Stegostoma tigrinum: one gene and its partner. The protein of the gene in region 1 purifies or fractionates together with the protein of each later gene. This does not show direct contact. Links are inferred from orthologs where the notes say so. Each region holds a gene or a part of one and is shown in the gene's direction. Other genes may lie near its edges.

Evidence for each region. Proteins that work in one complex are often made in the same cells at the same time.
Region 2: the proteins of guanine nucleotide-binding protein subunit beta-5 (region 1) and guanine nucleotide-binding protein G(I)/G(S)/G(O) subunit gamma-2 purify together in Homo sapiens (affinity purification with western blotting; 4 studies listed by BioGRID and IntAct, with this or other methods). This does not show direct contact. The link is inferred for Stegostoma tigrinum from reciprocal best matches to the Homo sapiens genes GNB5 and GNG2.

Annotation. Positions count from the first base shown.
Region 1 is NC_081386.1:20,114,307-20,122,201, forward strand, and holds the start of guanine nucleotide-binding protein subunit beta-5, read left to right. Parts: upstream 1-4,849; 5' UTR 4,850-4,950; intron 4,951-5,378; exon of another isoform or gene 5,379-5,396; intron 5,397-7,895. UniProt on the Homo sapiens protein: Enhances GTPase-activating protein (GAP) activity of regulator of G protein signaling (RGS) proteins, such as RGS7 and RGS9, hence involved in the termination of the signaling initiated by the G protein coupled receptors (GPCRs) by accelerating the GTP hydrolysis on the G-alpha subunits, thereby promoting their inactivation.
Region 2 is NC_081363.1:45,370,088-45,377,219, forward strand, and holds the start of guanine nucleotide-binding protein G(I)/G(S)/G(O) subunit gamma-2, read left to right. Parts: upstream 1-4,108; 5' UTR 4,109-4,748; intron 4,749-7,132. UniProt on the Homo sapiens protein: Guanine nucleotide-binding proteins (G proteins) are involved as a modulator or transducer in various transmembrane signaling systems.

The DNA of each region.
Region 1 (7,895 bases):
AGCAAGCTTTTTGAAGCTGTGATTTTAAACTGCTCACTTGTTTTCTTTCAACATTTTTCTTCCCATTTCCATCTGTTCCCTGAATGTTATTCAAAATCTTCTCCATTTCTGAAACGTTTCTGCAATTTATCAGCTATTGTCTGACTTTACAGATTACACTATCTGCACCTGGGCTTTTTCAATGGCAGGCGACAATGTGTGTACTATGAAAGCATGACATGACACTGTGTCAAATTTGCCTGCATTTTTCAATAGCTTCAGCAGGATTGGATCCAATGGTGAGAAATACTTAAGAAAAAGATTGCAGAGGTGAAACAGTGCAGAAAGAGTTAATGGTCGTATAAGTGTCACAGCTTATCAAATATTTATTAGTTGTGTACACTATTTGTATGGATCCTTACTGGCAAAAGAGACAAATTAGCTCTCAATGACTGTCAGGACACTAACGTGATATTATAGACTTCAGAATTTTAATAACAGCTCATTGACTGAATGAACCAACAAAAGATAAGCTGTTTCACACACACACTAATAAAGACAAGGACTGACTTATACAGGAATTGCAAGTATTTGGCACGTCTGGGAGTGGGGGCTACATAGAGAAAACTGCTTTGATACCTGCTTGACTGGATGCTTTATGCAACACGGGTAACTAACTGATTGCCCTGTAGAAGAATTTAAGGAGGTAATCATAGGAAAGCCGTGTCTTGCCAAATGTAACAAGGAACAAAGAAATTACTTTTGTTAAGGAATCCAGCTGCAGTCTTGCAGTAATTTGGTGAAAGGACATTTTAAGCAATATCAATCAATATATCACCTCAGAGACTGAAGGATGAATATCTGCATAAGAATCAAAGACCAGAACAACTCAACAGCAGAACTTAACAGAACAACATTACAGAAGGACTGAATCCTGGAGACTTCCAGAGACAGACCATTTTTTGGTTGAAGTCCTGGCCAGATTTCATCATTAATTCAGGTAATCACTAAGTTGGATCGCAGGCTTATACTTGCTTACTTAAGGGGTCTTGTGTTTAGTTGCAACGTGCAATAAAGTTTGAATTATTGTTTCAGTACTTGATTTTATATGAGATTTCTTTAATAAGTAGCTGAAATGTGGTGACTTACCCACAGCACCAAGAAGCTGAGAGTGATCTTGGGTTGTGTGTTCAAACATTCTTGAAATTGGGTGTAGAGGTTAATAGGGTGGTTTAGAAGACACATCCTGGTCTTTATCAGTTGAGGTGTAGATTATATGAGCAGGGATGTTATATTGAACCTGTACAGAACTTTTCGTTAGACCACAAATAGAGTACCATGTGCAGTTCTAGTTGCCTCACTATGGGAAGGATGCAATTGCATTGAAGAAGGTGTGGCGGAGATGCACCAGAGTTTTGCCTGGGCTGGAGCATTTCAAAGAATCCCTGTAGCGTGGAAGCAGGCCATTCACCTCATCAAGTCACAGCAACCCAACATTCCACCCAGGCCCACCCCTCTTACACTACCCTATAACCCTGCACTTCCTACGGCTAACTCACCCAGCCTGCACATCTTTGGACTGTGGGAGGAAACTGGAGCACCCAGTGCAAACCTGTGTAGACATGGGAAGAATGTGCAAATTCCACTTGGACAGTCGCCCGAGGGTGGAATCAAACCCATGTCCACTGCTGTCTTAACTACAGAGCCAGAGTACTGCTCCAATTTCAGCTACAGAGAGAGGCTGGATAAGCTCGGGGGTTCTTATTCTGGAGTAGAGGATGTTGACAGGGGCCTGGTTTGAGGTTTACAGGATTATAAGGGGCATGGGCAGGGTAGGTAGAAAGCTGCTGTTCCCCTTCGGTGAATGGTCAAGAACAAGGGGGTACACTTTTTATGTTAAAAGGAAGTATTTAGAGAAAATGTTTCTTTCACCAGAGGTTGGGGTGGGGTCTGAAATGGGTTGCCTGTGAGGTCATCTCACAACCTTTTTTAAAAGTACATGGATGAACTATTGAAATGCCAAAACATTCAAGAATATGGACCTAGTATGCTAAAGTCATCTTAGTGGAGGTAGTGGTGTAGTTTTTGGTGATGTACTCAATGGGCCAAAGGGCCTCTTCTGTACAAAGATCCTATTATTCGATAAGCTTGAAACAATCCAAACGTACTCCATGATTCAACTGGAAAATACACCAGTGTCACTGCCTTCATCAGTGGATCTCGAATTGGAATCACTACAGCAAAAGAGGGAAAATAGGCTAACTCATATTCTATACTATATAGAACGGACATTAACAGAAACAAATGCCTAGTGCTTTCTGACAATGACAAACCACAAGGGAACGATCCACACAAACTGCAAAGACATCCCCTTTTGCAAGATGGTATACCAACAACCTATTTTCCCCACAAGGGCAACCTCACAATGGAACAAGCTGCCAAAAGAAGTAATCACAGCCCTTAGTGCTTGAATCTCGAAGACCTACGTTTAGATTAATAATTTCATTTTTATTACCAGGGTTACCATCTCAGCAATTGAGGCCTTGATTAGCCAGAGCTACCCATTTAAACATTGGTACAATTAGTCCATGATGATAACACTAGTAAAGCAGGAACAGTGGACCTAAGATTAGTCCCTTAGTGATTGACCCCGTTGTGAAGAAAGGATGACATTACCAAACACTAATAAAGTGAAACATTGCTTTGGGATTAAAAATAGGGTTTTTTTTTTTACTGGAGAGCAGTTTGATATTATCTAGTTTCAAATTCCGCTGACCTGGTCCCACTTCTCTCCTGCCCTCCTACATGGACTGGCACTATCATTTTATTTAGGCCATTAAATAATTAGACTGGTAAGTTGTACTGGCTTACTTTAAATGGAACAGTGACCAGATGAGTTAATTCTCCTCTCAATTGATATTTACAATTTTAATTTCATAAACTGTTGTTGGCTTGGGCAATAAATATGATTTGGCTTTCCTAAAGTCAGTAATTATTGCTCAGGATGACCACTTCAAATTCAAAGAGAACTTACCCTATTAGTAGGGATGTTACTACGATATGACATTTTGACTAATTTATTCAGGAATCAGCAGTCATGGACTGTAATACTCCCTGAAAACATTGGGTCACTAAAATTTACTGGGATTGGAGGCAGTGCAGAGAAGGCTCACTAAGCTGATATCGGGTATGGAGGGACTTTCACATGCAGAGAGGTTAAGTAGACCTGGGCACTACATCTTAAAAAGGATATATTGACCTTTGGAGAACTGTTGGCTTACAATGTAGGTTTACAAGAATGCTACTCGGACTTCAGGGATTGTGAGGGGAGGTTAGACGAATTAGGCTTGTTTTCTCTAGAATGTAGAAGTCTAAAGGGTGATCTTATCAATGTCTTCGAGACATTAACCGGAAAAGACAAGGTAGACAAAGATAAACCATTTCCACTTATCAGGGTTTCTAGAACTAGGGAACACAGACTGAGAATTAGGGTTACACTGTTCAGGAGTGATATTAGGAAGCTCTTCTACAAACAAAGTGTGGTAGATATTTTGAACTCTCTTCAAAAGGGCAGTGGATACAGAATCAGTCAGTCGAGATAAAAAGAAATTAATAAAACTGACCAGATTACTTAAAAGTTGCACATTATTTCACAGGCAAAGATGTGGATTCACCAGTTGCTTTTCTGGAAATGTTGATCAGGGTCACCTGTTTAGTTCACTCAGGTGCAGGTAGTAATACTTCTAACTCAACTTTCTACTCTCTGGGCTTTCAAAAACCTGATCTGGAAAATCAGGCAGGGCGCTTTCAAATTTTCATGCGGTGCTATCAGTAGTAAAACTCTTCTCCCAGAACAAAATTTTCAAAAACTTTGGATCCACCTTCATAGGCAGATTGTCTTTTCACTCCACCCTCTCGTTTATACTAAGGGATTCCCGATGCAAACAGGAACCCATTTCCAATCTCTTCAGATGCCAACAACTTCCTATTTGCATCACTTGTTTTAATCAGAATTTCAGGATTTGTAATATTTTCCTCTTGTGCTGTAATTTTAAAATATTTGGTAGTCTGATAAAACTTTAATTAGCATAATTTCTACACAATCACCTATTATCAGGGGAGACAGTGGCATTGTGTGATGTCACTGGTCTGATAATCCAGAAGAGCTGATTAATGTTCCTGGGGCTTGGGTTCCAATGCCCACCATGATAAATCATGAAATTAATATCTGGAATTAACAGCAAGCCTAATGGTAACATGTAACCACCAACAATTGTTGTGAAAACCCATCCAATTCACCTTTTATTGAAGGAAATCTACTATCTTTGCCTGGTCTGGCTTACATGTGACTAATGTGGTTGACTTTTAAATGTCTTCTGGGCAATTAGGGATGGGCAATAAATGCTAGTTGAGTCAGAGATGACCACATCCCATGAATTATATTTTTAAAAATGTAAATACTCCACCCAATGTCTAAGTCAACAAAGTTGTTCAGACCATCCCTGGTCACTGATATATTCAAACTTGTACATTCAATTAAAATATACACCTTTTTTAAAATTTATTTTGTGGATTTGAAATTGTAAAGGAATTTTAAGGACGATTGACAGTTTTCAGATGCTGTGTTGCGTATTTGGAAAACTAAACCATGTGATCAACTGGCTGATCTATTTAAGACGTCAACTGAGTCATGAATCTCTTGAACAGCTAATCATTCCAAACATTCCTGAGACACACAAAATATCCAATGTATTTAGTTGTTAGATTCCTTACGTTTCTTGTAATAAAGTGCAAAGTTACAGTGACTATAAAAAGGCTCTGTCGAAAGGTGTCAGTAAAAATATTCAAAATGACCTGTAACCCTTTAAATAGATTATCACTTAGCCACTGAAGCTGGATTAGTTTCTCAAATCCTCAGTCTCTCAGAGCCTGACTTCAGCCTCCCATCTGCATTCTTCCTGGAGCATTCAGGTATGTCTGAATTTAAACTCAATGTTCAAATGTTGGCATTTTACATGCAGATAAATGTTTCAGATGTTCCCATTCCAGCATATGTTTGGAATTAATTGATTTTCAGAATTAAAAGGCTAAATAACAACCTGTAATGAGGAATTCGTGATGTCATCTGTGTGACAGTTCAAATTGTTAAACTTTGCAAATATTATACATCTTCTTTTATCTGAGTAAATCGAGTATGGATTTTGGTGCTGAACAAAACAGAAAGTGCTTAAAATAGTCAATAATCTGGATTTATTTGGAGAGAGACAAACAGTTAGCATTTTGCTTTGAATACAAGTCTTCTTTCAGATTATATTCAGTTTAAAATATTGACTCTGTTTGCATTTCACAGATGCTGTCGCACCTGCAGAATATTTCCATCACTTTTTCTGCTTGTATTTTGGATTTCCAGTATCTAGGTTATTTTTCTTTTATTTCAGATTTTAGTAGTTCTTTGCATATGATGAAATTGTGTTTATAAACTATCAGGAATTACTGAAAATTCTCAGAAGTTGGACATCTGTAGAGAGAGAAATTAATAGAAAGGTTCTGATGAGAGGTCATTGACCTGAAACATAGGGTGGAATCTTGTTGACGCAGTGAATCGCTTGTCAGCTGAATAGAGGGCCAGTAAGAGACCCTTGCTGTTCCTTCCTCTTTTAAGTGACGTGTTTTTAACAGATGCCAACAGGAGTTCCCAGAAGAACTGGTCATATGACCAGTTGGTGCACTAAATACAAGGGTATTTCTGCAAACACTCCCCTTTTGGTTAAAAAAAAGAAACATGAACACTATCATTTGCAGTTATAAGTTATCCAAGTTATCCGGTATATATGTTTAACAATGAACGTTATCATTCACGAAGGGACCAGGATGCGTTAACTCTAGTCAGTTCAACTGCCATTAGTTTCTACATATATAAGTAATCGGTACATTGAGTAGATCCCTGCTTCCCTAACCTGTTCTTCCTCTCACCTATCCCCTCCTCCTACCTCAAGCCGCACCTCCATTTCCCACCTACTAACCTCATCCCGCCCCCTTGACCTGTCCGTACTCCCCGGACTGACCTATCCCCTCCCTACCTCCCCACCTATACTGTCCTCTCCACCTATCTTCTCTTCTATCCATCTTTTGGTCTGCCTCCCCCTCTCTCCCTATTTATTTCAGATCTCATAATTGTTTGTTTGGGCATTGCCGATGGCTGTTCTTTTGCCTGCTCATTCTTAAGGTGATGTTCCTTCACCAGTGAGTGTTGATCCCATATGGTAGTGTGTGGTAACTGTTGTTACTAATCCATTTCTATTGCTGGGGAACAATGAAACTCCAGGGCTGAACGTTGTCCTGTACTCTGTGGAGGTGATGAGATCACTTCTTCCTGGTTTGCTGCCTGTAGTAAAGGTGTTTGGTCTCCAGTTGTATGCATGTATCTGCGGCTATTTTGACAAATCTCGTTGTTGATATTCATTGTGTGTGATCAAGTTAAATGTAGCTGTCCACAAGTCCCAATTGGCTATATGAACTAACCATTGTTGAGAATGTTGAATGTTTGGACTCTGACTGGCTCTCCAATGCTCAGTTCTGGCAACTACTTGGCAGTTTTATTAAAATGAATTTTTGCTTCCTGTCATTTCATGTTTATATTATACATATTACTGCTTCCGGCATTGATAGTTTTATTTCCACTATTGGAAGGATAATTTGTGTGTGTTGTGACATTAGCCTTTAGACTCTGCTCAAGGATTGCCTTGTACAAGACTGCGCCAGATTTACTTGATTTCTTTCTGATCCCTTTGTCTCGGCCTTTCTATTTGACTGCGGATAGTGTACAGCCAATGTATGATGGTGAATTTCACAATCCTGTAGGAAGCGAATGAATGTTTCAAGCATGAAATGAGGGCCGTCATCACTCATCACAATGTCTGGAATGCCATAACAATTGAATTGTATTTGACAATCTCACTGTTTGCTGTTGACTTGGTTAGTCTTTTTTCCAATAATCAGAATAATAGTCAACAGTGACAACATAAGTAATTCAGCCAGCTTCATCCCTGGTCTGTCTGGGATGTCGCACATCATAAGGATCGCTTGTGTATCACTGGCTGACATCTGTATAAGCTTGCTTTGCTTTTTTTCTAGCTCAACACTTGTGTGAAAAGTGATTCCAGTTTCTTGCAGTTAGGGTACTAATTCCCCCACATTGAACATTCCTCCCTATCTTTTGTGTGAGTAATATAAAATCATAGAATCCCTACAGTGTGCAAGTAGGCCATTCAGCTCATTGAATCCACACTGTCCCTCTAAAGAGCGTCCCACCCGCCTACCCTTTCCGCAACTCTGCATTTCCCATGGCTAACCCACCCAGCCTGCACATCCCTGGACACGATGGGTAATTTAGCACAGCCAATCCATCTAACCTGCATGTCTTTGGACTGTGGGAGGAAGCAGGAGCATGAGGAGAATGTGCAAACTCCACGCAGGTGGTTACCTGAGGGTGGAATTGAACCAGGTCCCCGGCGCTGTGAGGCACCAGTGCTAACCACTGCGCCACCGTGCTGCCCATGTATGCACGTTCTGACATCTGTCTGTTACTTTTCCACTGGCTTTTCTGCAACTATTTATCCTTTATTCCCGAAATACTTTTCTCGTTTGGCCTTGGACGTCAATCAGCTTAATTCAACCCATCATCTGTTCTCCCATTTATACGCTGTAGCTAATGGTTCACAATCTCAAAACTGCTGCCATGCCGATCACTTTTTTGTGAGATGTTTCCCCTCTCTCAGGACATGTGCTTTCACTGCAGGATCTTTAATGCCTGGCTAGTCCTATCTGTGATAAGATTAACTTTTAGTTGTCCAATCTCAATGGATCCAGCTATGTGTAACAGTATGGTCACATACTGACCAATTGTCTCCATCTCC
Region 2 (7,132 bases), on another chromosome or scaffold:
AACCTTACCTTACTCCTTGGAAACTCAATTGAACTTGATCTTCCTTGGTTCCTTTTTGCAGTTATACTGTTTCACTATTGACTGAATGCACTGTGACCCCTGCCCCTGCTGAGCTGGCTTAAACTCTTCCCAACAGCATGAGCAAACCTTCCCACAAGAATTTTATTCCAATTCTGGTTCGGGTGTAGACTGTCTCAATAGCAGAGATTCTATTTTTCCCCCAAAACAGGTCCTGGTTGTTCAGTGATAATGGGAATTGCAGATGCTGGAGAATCCAAGATAATAAAATGTGAGGCTGGATGAACACAGCAGGCCAAGCAGCATCTCAGGAGCACAAAAGCTGACGTTTCGGGCCTAGACCCTTCATCAGAGAGGGGGATGGGGTGAGGGTTCTGGAATAAATAGGGAGAGATGGGAGGCGGACCGAAGATGGAGAGAAAAGAAGATAGGTGGAGAGGAGAGTATAGGTGGGGAGGTAGGGAGGGGATAGGTCAGTCCAGGGAAGACGGACAGGTCAAGGAGGTGGGATGAGGTTGGTAGGTAGGAGATGGAGGTGCGGCTTGGGGTGGGAGGAAGGGATGGGTGAGAGGAAGAACAGGTTAGGGACGCAGAGACAGGCTGGACTGGTTTGGGATGCAGTGGGTGGAGGGGAAGAGCTGGGCTGGTTGTGTGGCGCAGTGGGGGGAGGGGACGAACTGGGCTGGTCTTGGGATGCGGTGGGGGAAGGAGAGATTTTGAAGCTGGTGAAGTCCACATTGATACCATATGGCTGCAGGGTTCCCAAGCGGAATATGAGTTGCTGTTCCTGCAACCTTCGGGTGGCATCATTGTGGCAGTGCAGGAGGCCCATGATGGACATGTCATCTAAAGAATGGGAGGGGGAGTGGAAATGGTTTGCAACTGGGAGGTGCAGTTGTTTATTGCGAACCGAGCGGAGGTGTTCTGCAAAGCGGTCCCCAAGCCTCCACTTGGTTTCCCCAATGTAGAGGAAGCCACACTGGGTACAGTGGATGCAGTATACCACATTGGCAGATGTGCATGTGAACCTCTGCTTAATGTGGAATGTCATCTTGGGGCCTGGGATAGGGGTGAGGGAGGAGGTGTGGGGGCAAGTGTAGCATTTCCTGCGGTTGCAGGGGAAGGTGCCGGGTGTGGTGGGGTTGGAGGGCAGTGTGGAGCAGACAAGGGAGTCACGGAGAGAGTGGTCTCTCCGGAAAGCAGACAGGGGTGGGGATGGAAAAATGTCTTGGGTGGTGGGGTCGGATTGTAGATGGCGAAAGTGTCGGAGGATGATGCGTTGTATCCGGAGGTTGGTGGAGTGGTGTGTGAGAATGAGGGGGATCCTCTTTGGGCGGTTGTGGTGGGGGCGGGGTGTGAGGGATGTGTTGCGGGAAATGCGGGAGACGCGGTCAAGGGCGTTCTCGACCACTGTGGGGGGAAAGTTCCGGTCCTTGAAGAACTTGGACATCTGAGATGTGCGGGAGTGGAATGCCTCATCGTGGGAGCAGATGCGGCGGAGGCGGAGGAATTGGGAATTGGGGATGGAATTTTTGCAGGATGGTGTGTGGGAGGAGGTGTATTCTCGGTAGCTGTGGGAGGGATTGGTTGAACAATTTGCTACCACCTTCAGTAAGAAGTCCATTTTAATTTTGTGTTTAGCTCTTAATACTGTCTATGCAGAATGTCATTCCTAGTTCTACCTAGGTAGTTGGTACCAACATAGACCATGAAAACTGAATCTTCCCCTTCCAGGTACAAATGCCTTGCCAGCCTCAGCAAGTGTCTCAAACACTGACACTTCTGGCAGGCATTATAGCTGTCTGGTGCCTCGCCCTTTGTTGGATAAAATGGTGGTAATCCCCTGATTGCCACCACTTTCTTGTTGTTTCTATCACTTAAATGCCACCCCCTCCATACCTCGGCACTATAGTTAGTTTGCTCATTCAGCTTTTAGCCTCATTTTCAGCCAATCAAGCTGAGAGATCTTCAATCCTATTGGACACTGATACTCCTGCATTTCCACCCTCTGGATCAACTTGTCTGCCTCACGTACAGTCACGCCCTCCTGTCTTTGACCACTTACTAAATCAGCAGGCCCTATCCTAAATGGTGTGACAGATTCCCAGCACAAATAATCCATGTAATTTAGCCCCTCCCTGCACAGCAGTGTCTGCAGTTGAACCTCCAACTCATTAACTCTGAGCAAAAGCTACTTGAAAGTGAAACATTTTATACAGACATTTGCCCTAGATCACAATAGAATCAAGCAGCTCCCACATGATGCAGCCTTTACCGATCATAAATCCTGCATCCTTAAAGATCTTAGTTAATTACCGCCAACTTGCACACTGTTTTAAAACAGAACACATACCAGATATGCACCAAACTGGCTGCTTTCTTTGTCGTGCAGCAAAATCAATTCCTAAATGGCAGAAGTATTAAAAAGCTAAAGCAAAAGAACACAAACACTTGCTTCTCCTCTCCATCTTCATCAAACTCCCCACTTTAGATAAAAACTTTCAACATTGCAAACAATTTCCTTGATGGATTTGTTTTCCTCTGGCTGCACTAAACGACATAATTTTTAGGAACTGTACGGGGATTAGAGACACCAGATTTAACCATTTAGCTAAAATTTTAAGCTTATTTGCATAGTACTTCCCATTTATTGCTAATTACTGACTAGATTTGATTTTAAGAACCGAGTTTAAAAACAAAAATTTACACAAACTCTTCGCTCACCAAACTCAATTGTTCAATTTCCTCAGCTACAAAATATCACCTGCCCTTCCAACTTGATGGAGTCATAATTTGTTAAATAATTTATTAATTAATTAAATTTAACTAATGCCTTCAGTTCTGTCTGTGCTTTTTTATTTTCCTTATTTTGTTTAATATTCTACTTACACTTATTGAAATTCCTTAGTTTTCCTGATTACTATTAAACAGGAAATATCCAGTCGCCTACCTGTTTCCAGACATTAGTTTCTCTTTCTGTAATCTGATTCAGAATTGACAGTAGACGCTCCTGTATATCACAGTCCTGTATATCCTTCTCCATGATCTTATTCAATGAAGGAGCAGGCTCGAAGGAGTGAGTGGCCTACTCTTTTTTTCCTTGTTTGTATGTTCATGTGTACTCCCGTTCATATATTCCACTTTCCTGTATATTGGCCTCTCTTCTTGTATATTCCAGTCTTATATAGCTTACTTCTACGTATCCCACTTATGTATACCTAATTTCTGTATACCTAACTCCCACAGACCTCAAGACAACAAAGTGTGAAGCTGGATGAACACAGCATCTGCAGTTCCCATTATTTCTTTCCCACAGACCTCAGTTCAGTCTTCTGTGCTCTCTTCCTATACATCTTAGTATTCTCTGTAATCTGCTCACCTCCTATATACCCAATTCCTTTATATGTTCTCCTCATTACTTATGCTCCACTCTCACTGAAATCTCTCTCTTTATACTCCCACTAACGCGTCCTTCTTTACAGCTCCACACTCACCTTGCTTTTTACATGCCTCTATCCTCTTTGATAGCTTGCTGAGTCCCAGCAAAATTGAGGCCAGTGGGACTGAGAATGAAATCTCTGTACAGGTTGGGGTCATCTCTAACTCAAAGGAAGGTTGTCGTGCGCAGGCAGGTCTGACCAAATGTGTCTTGTTCATATCCGGGTTGAATTACTGCTGTATGTAGTACACAATGTTTAGAGATCACTGGTTCACAGAGATCAATAGTAAATCCTCAGCTGTCACCCTTCAGGGTTTAGGCTATGTAACAAGTGAATGGGGCGCTCAAAGGAAACATTACATGTACAGCCTATTATCTGTGACATGTCAATAACTTGTCATGGCTGAAACTTTACTTTTGAACAAATCACATCCTTTTTTCATGAAAAAAAGACGTACACTCGAAGTGTCTAAAGAAACGATAATATTCTGGTTTTAAACCTCTGAGGATTAGATTCTGATTACTGTTCTGTGTCTGCTGTGCAAAGAAAGAGGCATTGCCACATTTACATAAACAACACAGGAAATCAGTCATTCACCGTTGCCATGGTAGCACTGGGGAAATCCATTTTATTAAAGTTCACTGTGTCCCTCTTAGGAACATTGCAAACAAAGAGCTGGAATAATAGAAGTAGACTGGGTGCAGATATAATAGCATAACTCTGGGTTTTAGTATGGGCAGTCTTTGCTGCTGATGTTGGTCTATCTGGTAGTCTTGTTCAGGAAGCGCCCCTTCATGCCAGCAGCTGGGAAGAATATCAAAGTCACACTGAGGTTTCTGTTAGTGAGGGTGGAGGGAAGCAAGCCCTTAGAATGATTTTATCATTTATTTAATATTTCAGACGCCAAGATGAATTCCTTTGATTACTTCACCTAATGCTTCAAATGAAGCTCAGAGAGCAGAGCATTGGTTGTAAAGTGCGGTGGAATTGCTGCAGAAATAAGCTGGTGAAAGGAACAGTTGCAAGGAGGGAAGCACAAGGCATACAGGAGAGAAGGGCTAAATGAGAGAGAAAGAGAGGCAGAGAAGGGGAAGTTACAGCAGCTAGAAAGGGGAGGAAGTGGGAGACCTGCTGCTTCCTGTAGACAGAATGATGATTGAAGACAAAGCTGGGTGTGGACTCGTCTCTCAGGGCTGCTGCCTACACAGCTGGTAAGCTTGGATTCTCCTGAATATTTAACCAATTTTAAGAAGAGAAGAGTGAATATCTGCTCACAGTTTAATGAACAAGGTAAATTAGCCTTTTTTCTTTCCTGGTTTTAATTCTACACTGAGGAATTTTGTTGATTACTGTATTTTTTTGCCAAAATAGACTTGATTGTATTTGGGACTACAGATATTAAAGCCCTATGTGTATTCCACAAACCGATATGATCAACAACTGTGCAATAACCATTATTGATTATTTTATAGTGTTGATGCTAAGAAAATGTAATGCTTTAATCTGAAAGCTTGCAGAAACCAAGTATGTAGCTGTTAGCAAGGAGAAGAAGAGCTGTCTGCTGTGAAGGAAGGTAGAATGATTTAATTGTAATTCATTCAGTGTGATTGGGAATTTGTGCTACAATCATTTAATGCCGATTGTAAAATTTTATACAAAACAACACACAACAACAATCAGCAGCTCAGTTCTTCTGATAACACAGTATGCCACAAAGGACTCAGTATGGATTTTGCTGTATGATTTTTTTCGTGTTCATATTCTCATTGCAGCTAAATGTCTGTATTTGTAAAATAATTCTTCAAACCAAAATGCATAAAATAACTGAACAGTAGAGTAATAATACTCATAATAAAGAAATTTTTTAATATCAAAATTACTGTAATTCTGAGAGCTGTAGGGATGACTACACGGGTCAATGCAAAATCAACCAGTTTTTTTTCCATAATATCACAGCATCTGCATTGAAAAGTCCATCATATAGAAAAAAGGTGTTGATTTGGTTGCCAGTAATAGCATTTAATTAGTAACTATGAATGCTATTTTTATATGCTGTGAAATCACATGACTTATTTAGACTGCACCGCCTCCATTTTATTGAAGAAAATGTAGATACCTTAAAATTAATTCAGTGATTCATAGCTGCTTACTAAATTAATGCCTTTTGAATTCTATCGGACAGTGTCATGAAAGATGATAACTAGGCAATGAAGAAACGATAGTTTCTGATGTGAAATACCAGTCAAATAATTTGAAGTAAAGGCAGAACATGCTAGAAATATTCAGCAGGTCAGGGAGTGTCCATGGAATCACTAATCCGAAACTCTCCATAGCTTCTCTCCACAGTTTTTGCTTCACAGCTGCTGCCTGACAAGCTGAACATTTCCAGTTTTCTTTTAAATATTTTATCTCAGGTTTCCAGCATCTGCAGTATTTTGCATTAGAGATAAATAAGGTATTTTCGTTACTTTATGGAAATCCACAACCATCGAGAGGTTTACATTTTTACTAGTGAGCTGTATCGTGTGTTATAGGTCTTACAATTCCCAAATATATGAAAAAACAAATATTAAATATTGCAGACAAACTTGTATCATAATAGCCTAAGTTTTATATCATCACTAATTAGCTTTTATTGTTGTGTAATTTGAGACTTGTTTAATCAATTGGTTCCATGTTCAGACTTAATGTGCTCAGGGGAATGCAACTGTTACACAAAAGTGAACCAGTTGGGAAATTATACAAACAGCAGTCTCTGAAAGTTTACAGCCCAATGGGATTTCCATTGCCCCTCCTAATCAAGGAAAGAGATTTTCTGTTGCCTGTTATAATGATAGACACTTCAGAGTCAAATTTCTGTTTTTGACAGTACATTCCCTACGATCAGTCTGTTAAATGGAAATATTAGTGAAATTCAATAAGCATTTGATCTTAACATTTAAATCAGCTGCCAGATTTAGCCTGCTGTCAATATTTTCTTTTCTAATGTTTAGACATGTTAATGGGACTAGATTATTGACCAACACTACTTATTAAATTATTCCTTCATGTTACATTGTTAACTGAATTATGAATCCAATAATTAAACTGTAGCACTTATTTGAGTGTCACAAGGAGGTGCAATCTGATACAGATACCAATACAAGGAGTTTACAATTACGGCCTACAATTGTCCATCTATTGTTCATTCTGTATTGATGAATAAATCACCACCAGGTGTCTGAATTAAATTAGATATGATCACAATGGTTCATTTATAGAAGTACAGATGTTGCCTTTGGCACAATACCACCCTATTTGTTTGTAACTGGTACCAGTATCACTCATTACTTTAGCACCATTTTCAACAACAATAGTAATAGTTCATAGTCAGAGTTATTTACATTCAAGAATAAATTGAATGTTGGAAAATGATACCATATTATAATAGTTTTGTGCGTACAATGATCAGTGTATTTTTTTAATTGTAAAACAGATAAGTTTAAAACAAAGAAGAGCCACACCCTAAGAAGTGCTTTTAATCTAAATGTAGAAATTGTTGTGGAAGAAATAGACATTTTTAATGGTCATAAGATACATCACACTACGTGGATTTATATAGTAATATGAAGAACATAGGACTAAGAAACAGCCATTTGGCCCAACCAACCCTACCCAGAGGTTATATTTCATTT